Linked DNA regions of Saccharomyces cerevisiae S288C. Each later gene encodes a partner of the first gene's protein in a complex. Each region holds a gene or a part of one and is shown on either strand. Other genes may lie near its edges. The genes, in order: RSC1 and RSC3.

What was found.
Region 2: RSC1 (region 1) and RSC3 share a complex: the UniProt entries of both Saccharomyces cerevisiae proteins name them as parts of the two forms of the RSC complex.

Annotation. Positions count from the first base shown.
Region 1 is NC_001139.9:599,643-605,025, forward strand, and holds RSC1 (RSC subunit protein RSC1), read left to right. Parts: upstream 1-2,018; coding exon 2,019-4,805; downstream 4,806-5,383. Other genes in the region: MUP1 (Mup1p), read left to right, coding at 1-1,499; LST7 (Lst7p), read right to left, coding at 5,131-5,383. UniProt on the Saccharomyces cerevisiae protein: Component of the chromatin structure remodeling complex (RSC), which is involved in transcription regulation and nucleosome positioning. RSC is responsible for the transfer of a histone octamer from a nucleosome core particle to naked DNA.
Region 2 is NC_001136.10:1,068,181-1,073,597, reverse strand, and holds RSC3 (Rsc3p), read left to right. Parts: upstream 1-2,211; coding exon 2,212-4,869; downstream 4,870-5,417. Other genes in the region: HNT2 (bis(5'-adenosyl)-triphosphatase), read left to right, coding at 110-196, 286-852; peptidylprolyl isomerase family protein CPR5, read left to right, coding at 1,041-1,718; mannose-ethanolamine phosphotransferase GPI11, read right to left, coding at 5,208-5,417. UniProt on the Saccharomyces cerevisiae protein: Component of the chromatin structure-remodeling complex (RSC), which is involved in transcription regulation and nucleosome positioning. RSC is responsible for the transfer of a histone octamer from a nucleosome core particle to naked DNA.

The DNA.
Region 1 (5,383 bases):
GTACCGGTGTTTTCGCCGTTTCCTCGACCATTTACACACTATGTGGGTCTGTGGGGCTTGCATTAATTATGTGGGCAGTTGGCGCCATTATTGCCATTTCTGGGTTATATGTATACATGGAATTCGGTACGGCTATACCGAAAAATGGTGGTGAAAAAAACTACCTGGAGGCTATTTTCAGGAAACCAAAATTCTTCATTACCTGTATGTATGCTGCGTATATTTTCTTCCTAGGTTGGGCTGCTGGTAATTCCATCAATACAGCTATTATGTTTTTAACTGCTGCTGATACTGAAGTGACCAAATGGAATCAAAGAGGTATTGGTGTGGCCGTCGTTTTTTTTGCATTCCTAATTAATTCTCTGAATGTCAAGATTGGTCTATATTTGCAAAACATTTTAGGTATTTTCAAGATTGGTATTGTCCTCTTCATTTCTATTACCGGTTGGGTTGCCCTTGGCGGTGGTCTCAAAGATGGTTATCAATCTCACAACTTTCGTAATGCTTTTGAAGGTACTGAAACCGCCACTGCTTATGGTATTGTTAACGCCTTATATAGTGTTATTTGGTCGTTTGTCGGTTACTCCAATGTTAACTATGCACTTGGTGAAGTTAAGAACCCTGTGAGAACTTTGAAGATTGCTGGTCCTACATCGATGGTCTTCTTGGCTATAATCTACATTTTTGTGAACATTGCTTACTTCGCTGTGGTTCCAAAAGATAAGTTAATTTCTTCAAAATTGATTTTAGCTGCTGACTTCTTCGATATTGTGTTTGGCGGCCAAGCCAAGAGAGCAGCAGCCGCACTGGTCGGGTTGAGTGCCTTAGGAAATGTTCTTTCTGTCATTTTTTCTCAGGGTAGAATTATTCAACAACTAGGACGTGAAGGTGTGTTGCCCTTTTCTAATTTCTTTGCCTCTTCTAAGCCATTCAACTCCCCAATGGTTGGTTTGTTTCAACATTTTATTGTTTGTACAGTAACCATTTTAGCCCCACCTCCAGGTGATGCATATTTGCTAGTCCAAAATTTAATTTCCTACCCAATGAATATTATTAATTTTGCCATTAGCGCGGGTTTGCTTTGGATATACTGGCAACGTAGACAAGGTAAAATTGAATGGAACCCACCAATTAAGGCCGGTGTTTTTGTTACGGGATTTTTCACATTATCCAATTTATACCTGATTATTGCTCCTTACGTTCCACCTTCAAATGGCGAGTCGGTGTATTCAAGCATGCCATACTGGATCCACTGTGTAATTGCTTGGGGTATTTTCTTCTTTGGTGGTGTTTACTACGTTGTTTGGGCCCAATTATTGCCAAGATGGGGCCACTACAAATTGGTTTCCAAGGATGTGCTTGGTGAAGATGGGTTCTGGAGAGTCAAAATTGCCAAAGTTTATGATGACACTATTGGCGATGTCGATACACAAGAAGACGGCGTTATTGAAACGAATATAATCGAACATTACAAAAGTGAACAAGAAAAATCGCTGTAACCAAAAAGGTACTTACCATCTCATCTCGATTCTTATAATCACGTATGAACATTCTTATAATTGCATTTTCTTTATACAAAATATATAGGTACCAAACCTCATTATAATTTCTGCCATTTAATAGTTTAAGATGCTATTCCGTTTCGTATTTTTTCAATTTTTATACCTACTATTGCGCGAAATCAAAATAGCATACTAAGAAAAAGCAATATCATGAATTGCTGATGAGATAGATTCAAATTGGAATTAACTAAATCTATCAGCAACGCTATAAACACAGATAAGCGCTCTATAAAATCGTTTGTCTAACGTTTTATATAGTTCTTTATTGCTCCCTTACCCTCTTTCCGTCAATAGTGATTGTTGTCTCGGGAAAGCTTTTTTTTTTATTAATCAAAGGCCCAATTGAGTTACAACTGAAATTAAGCTGAGTTGGCGGAACAGTGTGGTATTAGCGAAGGGAAAATCTGTGAAGTGCCCTAGCTACAAAACAGAGATAAAAAAAATTATATTTCAAGCATGGTGGAGCAAGATAATGGGTTTTTACAGAAGCTACTCAAAACACAATACGATGCTGTCTTCCATTTAAAGGATGAAAATGGTATAGAAATATATCCAATATTCAATGTACTGCCACCTAAAAAAGAATATCCAGACTATTACATTATAATAAGGAATCCGATATCTTTAAACACTTTAAAGAAACGATTGCCCCATTATACATCGCCACAAGATTTTGTTAACGATTTTGCGCAAATTCCTTGGAATGCAATGACATACAATGCAAAAGATTCAGTAATTTACAAATATGCCATTCTTCTTGAGTCTTTTATTAAAGGAAAGATCGTGCACAATATAAGAAAACATTATCCCGAGGTGACATATCCATCTCTAGGTCGAATTCCGGAAATATTCGCAGAGAGTATGCAACCCTCCGATTTATCCTCGAACCCCATTAATACACAGGAAAATGATGAAAAGGCTGGCTTAAATCCAGAGATGAAAATGGCTTTCGCAAAACTAGATAGTTCGATCACTGAAAGGAAACCAACCAACCAAGATTACAGGATGCAACAAAAAAACTCACCAGCGTTTCCAACCCATTCTGCTTCTATAACACCGCAGCCGCTGGCTTCACCTACTCCAGTTGTTAACTATGCAAATATTACCTCGGCGCATCCCAAAACCCATGTTAGACGCGGTAGACCACCAGTAATTGATCTACCCTATGTACTGAGGATTAAGAATATCTTGAAGATGATGAGAAGAGAGGTCGACCAAAATAATAAGACGCTTACCCTCTGTTTTGAAAAACTACCAGATAGAAACGAGGAGCCAACCTATTACTCTGTCATAACAGATCCCATTTGTCTAATGGATATTAGGAAAAAGGTTAAGTCCAGAAAATATAGAAATTTCCATACTTTTGAGGAAGACTTTCAATTAATGCTAACAAATTTTAAGCTTTATTATTCTCAAGATCAGAGCAATATAATACGAGCTCAACTATTGGAGAAAAACTTCAATAGATTAGTGCGAATTGAATTATCCAAACCTGATGAAGACTATTTACCTGAAGGTGAATTAAGATATCCTCTAGATGATGTAGAAATCAATGATGAGAAATACCAGATAGGTGATTGGGTTCTTTTACATAATCCAAACGACATCAATAAACCCATTGTTGGCCAGATTTTTAGATTATGGTCTACTACAGATGGAAACAAATGGTTGAATGCTTGCTGGTATTTTAGGCCAGAACAAACCGTTCATCGGGTGGATAGGTTATTCTACAAGAATGAGGTCATGAAAACTGGTCAATATAGAGATCATCCTATTCAGGATATTAAGGGAAAGTGCTACGTTATTCATTTTACCAGATTCCAGCGTGGGGATCCTAGCACGAAAGTCAATGGTCCTCAATTTGTTTGCGAATTCCGTTATAATGAAAGTGATAAGGTTTTCAACAAAATCAGGACTTGGAAAGCTTGCCTGCCGGAAGAACTCCGTGACCAAGATGAGCCTACGATACCTGTTAATGGAAGAAAATTTTTTAAATACCCTTCTCCAATAGCAGATTTGTTACCAGCAAACGCAACTCTAAATGACAAAGTTCCAGAACCCACGGAGGGAGCCCCAACTGCCCCACCTTTGGTAGGCGCTGTATATTTAGGCCCCAAATTAGAGAGGGATGATCTGGGAGAGTATTCAACTTCTGATGACTGCCCTCGATACATAATCAGACCAAATGATCCACCAGAAGAAGGTAAAATAGATTACGAAACAGGAACAATAATTACAGATACCTTAACCACAAGCAGTATGCCCAGAGTGAACAGTTCCTCCACAATACGTTTACCCACTTTAAAGCAGACTAAATCAATTCCCAGCTCCAATTTCAGGTCCTCATCAAATACTCCACTATTGCATCAGAACTTCAATCAGACTTCCAATTTTTTGAAATTAGAAAACATGAATAATAGTTCTCATAATTTACTATCACATCCTTCCGTTCCTAAGTTTCAATCGCCCTCTTTATTAGAACAGAGTAGTCGCTCTAAATACCATAGTGCAAAAAAACAGACACAGCTATCATCAACAGCTCCCAAAAAGCCTGCATCTAAAAGTTTTACATTATCCTCAATGATTAATACCTTAACTGCTCATACCTCGAAGTACAACTTCAACCATATTGTTATTGAAGCCCCGGGTGCATTTGTGGTTCCTGTACCAATGGAAAAAAATATAAGAACCATCCAATCGACAGAACGTTTCAGTAGATCAAATCTAAAAAACGCTCAAAATCTCGGTAATACTGCTATTAATGACATAAATACTGCAAATGAGCAAATAATATGGTTCAAAGGGCCCGGTGTAAAAATCACAGAGAGAGTTATTGATTCCGGAAATGATTTAGTACGGGTACCTTTGAATAGATGGTTCTGTAAAAACAAAAGGAGAAAACTGGATTACGAAGACATTGAAGAAGATGTTATGGAACCACCAAATGACTTCAGCGAAGATATGATTGCTAATATTTTTAATCCTCCGCCGAGCTTGAATTTAGATATGGATTTAAATCTAAGCCCATCCTCGAATAACTCTTCTAATTTCATGGATTTAAGCACAATTGCAAGCGGTGATAACGATGGGAAAGAATGCGATACGGCGGAGGAGAGTGAAGACGAAAACGAAGATACAGAAGACGAGCACGAAATTGAAGATATCCCGACCACGTCTGCTTTTGGCTTAAATTCTTCCGCTGAATACCTTGCATTCAGATTACGAGAATTTAATAAATTATGACCATGATAAATTCACCACATGTATCTATATATGTTCATGCATATACCATATATATTTTGTTATTCATACGATAGACCTCAATCGTTTTGTTGCCTTTCAAAACGCACAATTGTAAACCTAGCTTACTATTTATCTATCGCGGTCCAGAATGGCTTTCCTTTTTAAATTCATCCCAGAAGCCACGTCGGAGTAAAGTATTCGGCCTTGATGACTATTTCGAATCGAAATGAAAGAATAAAAGGAACTAGGAGGTTGTTCCAACAATTTTCCATGCCGTAATTTCATCGGTTATTAGGTTACCAGCATTTATCTCAGTTTATTTGAGTCAAGGTAATTTATTTTCATTCATTACTGTATGGAGTAAAAATGAATTCCATTTATGTATTCGCACGAAGAGAAATTTATCATCCGTCAGAGACACCAAATTACGGCCGAATTTAGATTTGTTTGCACGTAAATATGAGCCAATGAAAGCGTTATTATTCAATGTTTCCAAATTGTTTTCCACCGTTTTATTTTTCCCCAAGAATTCGCTTTTATGAATGTTTTTAATATATGCAATCATTTTATCAAATCCA
Region 2 (5,417 bases), on another chromosome or scaffold:
AATTTTCCTGGTTTATACGTTTCTCAAGATATGGTCGAATCTTCTTTTCTGCTCAATTGTAAGAAGCGAAGAAAAAAAGGAAGCTCCATTGATCTATCTTGGGCTCAGAATGATCTTAAGCAAAACAAAGAAACCTAAAAGCATGAATAAGCCAATATATTTCAGCAAGTTTCTTGTAACTGAACAAGTTTTCTATGTATGCACTCTCATATGTTTTTTTGTACCCCATTCGCACCATTGCGTTACTAACTATATGGAGACCTTATAATCTCTGCTTCTTTACAGAAGTCAAAATATACGTATGCATTGGTAAACTTGAAACCAATTGTACCCGGACATGTACTGATCGTTCCACTGAGAACTACGGTTTTAAACTTATCAGATCTGACCATGCCTGAATCTCAAGATTATTTCAAGACTTTACAGTTAATACATAGATTTATTAAGTGGCAATATAAGGCTGACTCTATCAACGTTGCCATCCAAGATGGACCTGAGGCCGGACAGTCGGTACCCCACTTGCATACACACATTATTCCACGTTATAAAATAAACAATGTAGGGGATTTAATATACGATAAATTAGATCATTGGGATGGTAATGGGACTTTGACTGATTGGCAAGGAAGAAGAGACGAATATTTGGGTGTTGGTGGTAGGCAAGCAAGAAAAAATAACTCTACATCGGCCACTGTAGACGGGGATGAACTCTCACAAGGTCCTAATGTCTTGAAGCCAGACAGTCAAAGGAAGGTTCGAGCTTTAACCGAAATGAAAAAAGAAGCTGAGGATCTTCAAGCCAGACTAGAAGAATTTGTATCTTCTGATCCTGGTTTAACACAATGGTTATAGTTCAATAAATAATAGATTCATACTTACGATATAAAAAATAGTAGGGAAGTTAATTTTCGTTTCGCAGCGAATCCCTTTTAGCAGAGGAAAAAAAAGATGAAACCATCCTTACTACTTTCCTCGAGGAGACTCAACAGTAAAGGTTACTTTCAATTCAATAAACAAAAGGCACAGCGATATCCGCAATTATGAAGCTTCAATTTTTTTCCTTTATTACCTTATTTGCTTGTCTCTTCACAACAGCCATTTTTGCGAAAGAGGACACGGCAGAAGATCCTGAGATCACACACAAGGTCTACTTTGACATTAATCACGGTGATAAACAAATTGGTAGAATTGTTATGGGATTGTATGGTCTCACCACACCCCAAACCGTTGAAAACTTTTACCAGTTGACCATTTCCAGGGACCCTAAGATGGGTTATTTGAACTCTATCTTCCATCGCGTTATTCCTAACTTCATGATTCAAGGTGGCGATTTCACTCACAGATCAGGTATTGGGGGTAAGTCTATCTTCGGAAACACGTTCAAAGATGAGAATTTTGATGTCAAACATGACAAACCAGGCAGATTGTCTATGGCCAATCGTGGTAAAAACACCAACGGATCCCAATTTTTCATCACCACCGTCCCATGCCCATGGTTGGACGGTAAGCACGTTGTCTTTGGAGAAGTCTTGGATGGTATGGACGTAGTTCACTACATTGAAAACGTTAAGACCGACAGTAGAAATATGCCTGTAAAGGAAGTTATTATTGTGGAAAGTGGTGAACTGGAAACTGTTCCTTTGGACAATAAAGACGCCGCCAAGCTACAGGAAGAGATCAAAGCGGAAGCTAGCGAAGCAGCCCACGATGAACTCTAAACTGCATCACTATTCAGGAGATGTATAGGCCAGCTATGTAACTATATAGTGCTTATAACAGTTGATTATCACATAGAACGAGTATGTTACCCTATGGCCCTTTTCTGGCACAACTTCACAAGAGTATTTCAATTGACCAACGTGGGTCTTGTTGACCAGCTGGGATCACACAGACCAAGAACTACCTTTATTATTAGGAACATACTGCTTTCTGGACACTTCCACTGCTATACCTTCTCGCAAATAGCCATAGTTCACCAATATTCATTCGGCCCGTTAGACGCTTGTAAGACCACTTTCCCGTTTTCGCCCGAGAAGATATATTAGCTGCTTACATTAGATTATTTCATCAAAACTCACGGCTTTCAAACCAAAGTCATTGGTGCTCTGCTGCAATTGCCCCATACTACGCAGATATTTAAAATCGAGGTTTCTGTGATATTTTCTTAAGCTCTTATCTACAAAAATAGCATTTCAGAACCAAAAAACAACGATGGATATTCGTGGTAGAAAAATGAAAAAACCGCCTGCATGCGTGCAGTGCCGTAAGAGGAAGATAGGCTGCGATCGTGTTAAGCCGATTTGTGGGAACTGTATGAAGCATAATAAAATGGACTGCTTTTATCCGGACGTTCCCGGACAATACGTTCCCTCTAGTTCTTCCTCTTCCAATACACGCCAAGTAGCCAACGGTCCGTACTTAAACTCTTATTACGCTTCTCGTCGTGTCTCCAAGGAAACTGCTGCACTTTTGCAGAAAAATCCAGAACTGGCTTCTTTGGAGCAAATAAGAGAATACAACACGCGTCTGCAACTGCTCAATGCTCAAAATCAACTTAATAATAGATCATCTGCGGCAAATGCAACCTTGAATCAACAACACACTCAATATATTCCAAAATCAGTGCCTTCCTTGGAAAGTAAGCCAGTCACTTCTGCAAACGAATCTTCTACTCCACTCAATTGGGTTCAAGGCCCTGCAATTTTTCATATGCTAACCTCTCCTTACACACAAGATGAAATCATCAATCATGAAATGAATTTCTTGAAAGGCAGACTACTGGAATTGCAAGAAATTACAGGTAAGAAAATTACGGGAGTAAATCTTGATCTCAAGCAGGATTCCTCAGCGCAAATGCAGTCTTCACACTCCAATAGAAACCAAGAGGAGTTTTTGACAATTAAGAAAAGAAAACTGAGTGAAGACGGCGTTACGGACGGGGACGGTAAGCCAATTCCAGAGAGTGAAAGAAGACCTCATCTTAATGAATTTAAGGATTTAGATCCTCAATTTTTGGATACTAATAAAGTTTTTAATGTGTTTAATTCTGCTATTTCAGAAGAAGGTAGAAACAGATTATGGCTGTTACCAAAAAATATAAATAAAAGTTCTATCTTCCAGATTCAGTATTTGATTGAACGTGATCCTTTCCTATTCAAATTCTTCAATGACTTGAATATATTAATTGAAACGCAATTTAATGGACCTTTGCACGATTTGGTAGCAAGCCGTAACAGTATTGAGCGCAACAGTGGCATATCTCAAATATTAAAGTTTCCTTCACAATCGATAACACAGACCCTTATCAACAAATACTTATCCACGATAACGGAAACGAATTCAATACTTCCAATATTAAAACCAAAGAGACTATTACCCATAGTTGAGCAGCTTTTTCCTTCTAACACCATTAATAAGCCAAATTCTAAAGATTTTGAAACTATTTTTCAAGTTTTTAGTGTGACCAATGATCAGCTACTAAATCTAGGATTTATTACTCTCTGTCTCCTGATTCTTTTTGAATCGTTGAATTCTACGGTTTTGATTCCTCTTAGAGATGATGAACACTTGCAATTATTCAATGTGTTATTCAACTACTTGCCTTTGTTGAAGTCTAATTTAACAACGCTTAGATTTGAAATTGAAAAAAGGTCAATGTGTAATATAGAGACCCTGCGGTTTATTTCTTTGTGGAAATATTACCAATTTGTGATGGACACGTCGTCATCGTCCTCTTTCGTAATTGATTACGACGAAGATATGCATATGGCATGTTTACTATCGTTAAATCATGAAACTCAAAATCAATCTCATATTTTGACCTGGAATTTCATATTTAAGAACTACTGCTGGAGACACCTTTTCTTAGGTCAATTGCCGTTGCTAATGTCTGAACCTTTCACAAATTCTACCCCAATTATTGATCCTTTGTTGAACAACGATTTTGAATTGATTGATTTTGAAGTAAACTTGATGAAATATTTGCAAAGTAAAGATCAACAACTATCCATTGATAAAATTATACAGTTAATCAAGCTTTTGAAAAATAAGAATATCGAGGTCAGCCAAGGATGTTTAACGACTCCTTCAATAATTAATAATATCATGGATTCTCTAATCTACAGGAATTCAATGTTATATTTGAACTTTTACCTCTTATTGCAATTTGAAACATTGAAAAATTATGCTAAATTTAACGAAATTTTGGAAGACTTTTTGGAATTGTCGAGGGAGACCTTGTTCTTTGTTTTCTCGAACTTAGCCAATATTAAATTTGCTGGTCATGAATTCACATTCATCAATAAATCTATTGTGGTTCTGCAAACTTTAGTTTTAATGCTTTTGGCGCTCTATCAAAGGTCTTTTGATTCTTCAAAGAGGACGAATGATGCTAATGAAATCAGTGAGCAAACAGATATTCATAGTAATAACGACAATAGTAAGAGAATAAAGAATAAAAATGTTATTCATTTAATTATCAACAAAATTGCAATGTTGTTAAGTGATTATACCAAGAATTGTAAAAAGCAAAATAAACTCATCGAAAATCTGATTATTAAAATTAAGACAATCTCCAAGTATATCAAAAATCTTGAGGAGAATAAGGTAACGACTAGCGCCGATTCAAATTATTCCATTAATAACGGATTTTCTGGCATATCTGCAGAGCAGTTGATTAAATTAAATCACGAGTTGAGTAAAATTTCAGAATCTCTGATAAAAACGGATTTTTATGAACAGAGGAAAAATAGCACAGTTTCTAATGGAGTTTTAGGCGCAGCAGCTCCTGTTGATAGCGACGCAAATTCGGATACTTTCGGTTTAACAAAGGAGAATTTCAACGAAGTTTTTGAGGCTATTCGTAGCTAAAGCGACTCAAACAAATTAAAGAAGAAGTTGAGACTTTTATAGTATTTATTATTTAATCTGAGGATTTGTATTATTTTTTTATATAGAATGAATAAATCAGAAAAAGGAAATTATGAAAAGAAAAGAATGAGGAGAGTGGGAGATATTTAATGTTGTTAGCTATTTATCTGTATGGAAGTTATTACCTTCTTTTAAGATGGTACAAATAGCATATAGGTGGGTTTGGTATAAAGATCATTTAGTTTTTGTCATAGATTTTTCAATTGTGCATAGGACCAGTTTATGTTACCTCTATCATACTTATATTTTTTTATATACAAATTTTTAAATTACCGATATTATATATAGGCACCGATAGTATAGCCCACCAAAGCGCCCAAATAACCTCCAACAACAATAGGAATTGGCCAATTCTGCCAATCTCTATCCCAATCCAAAGGAATGACAACACAACTAATCCAACCCCCTACAACGATAAAGATAAAATACTTCTTCCATAATCCCACTTTGAAATCACAATTAAATACAGAATAAACTGCAGGGTATGC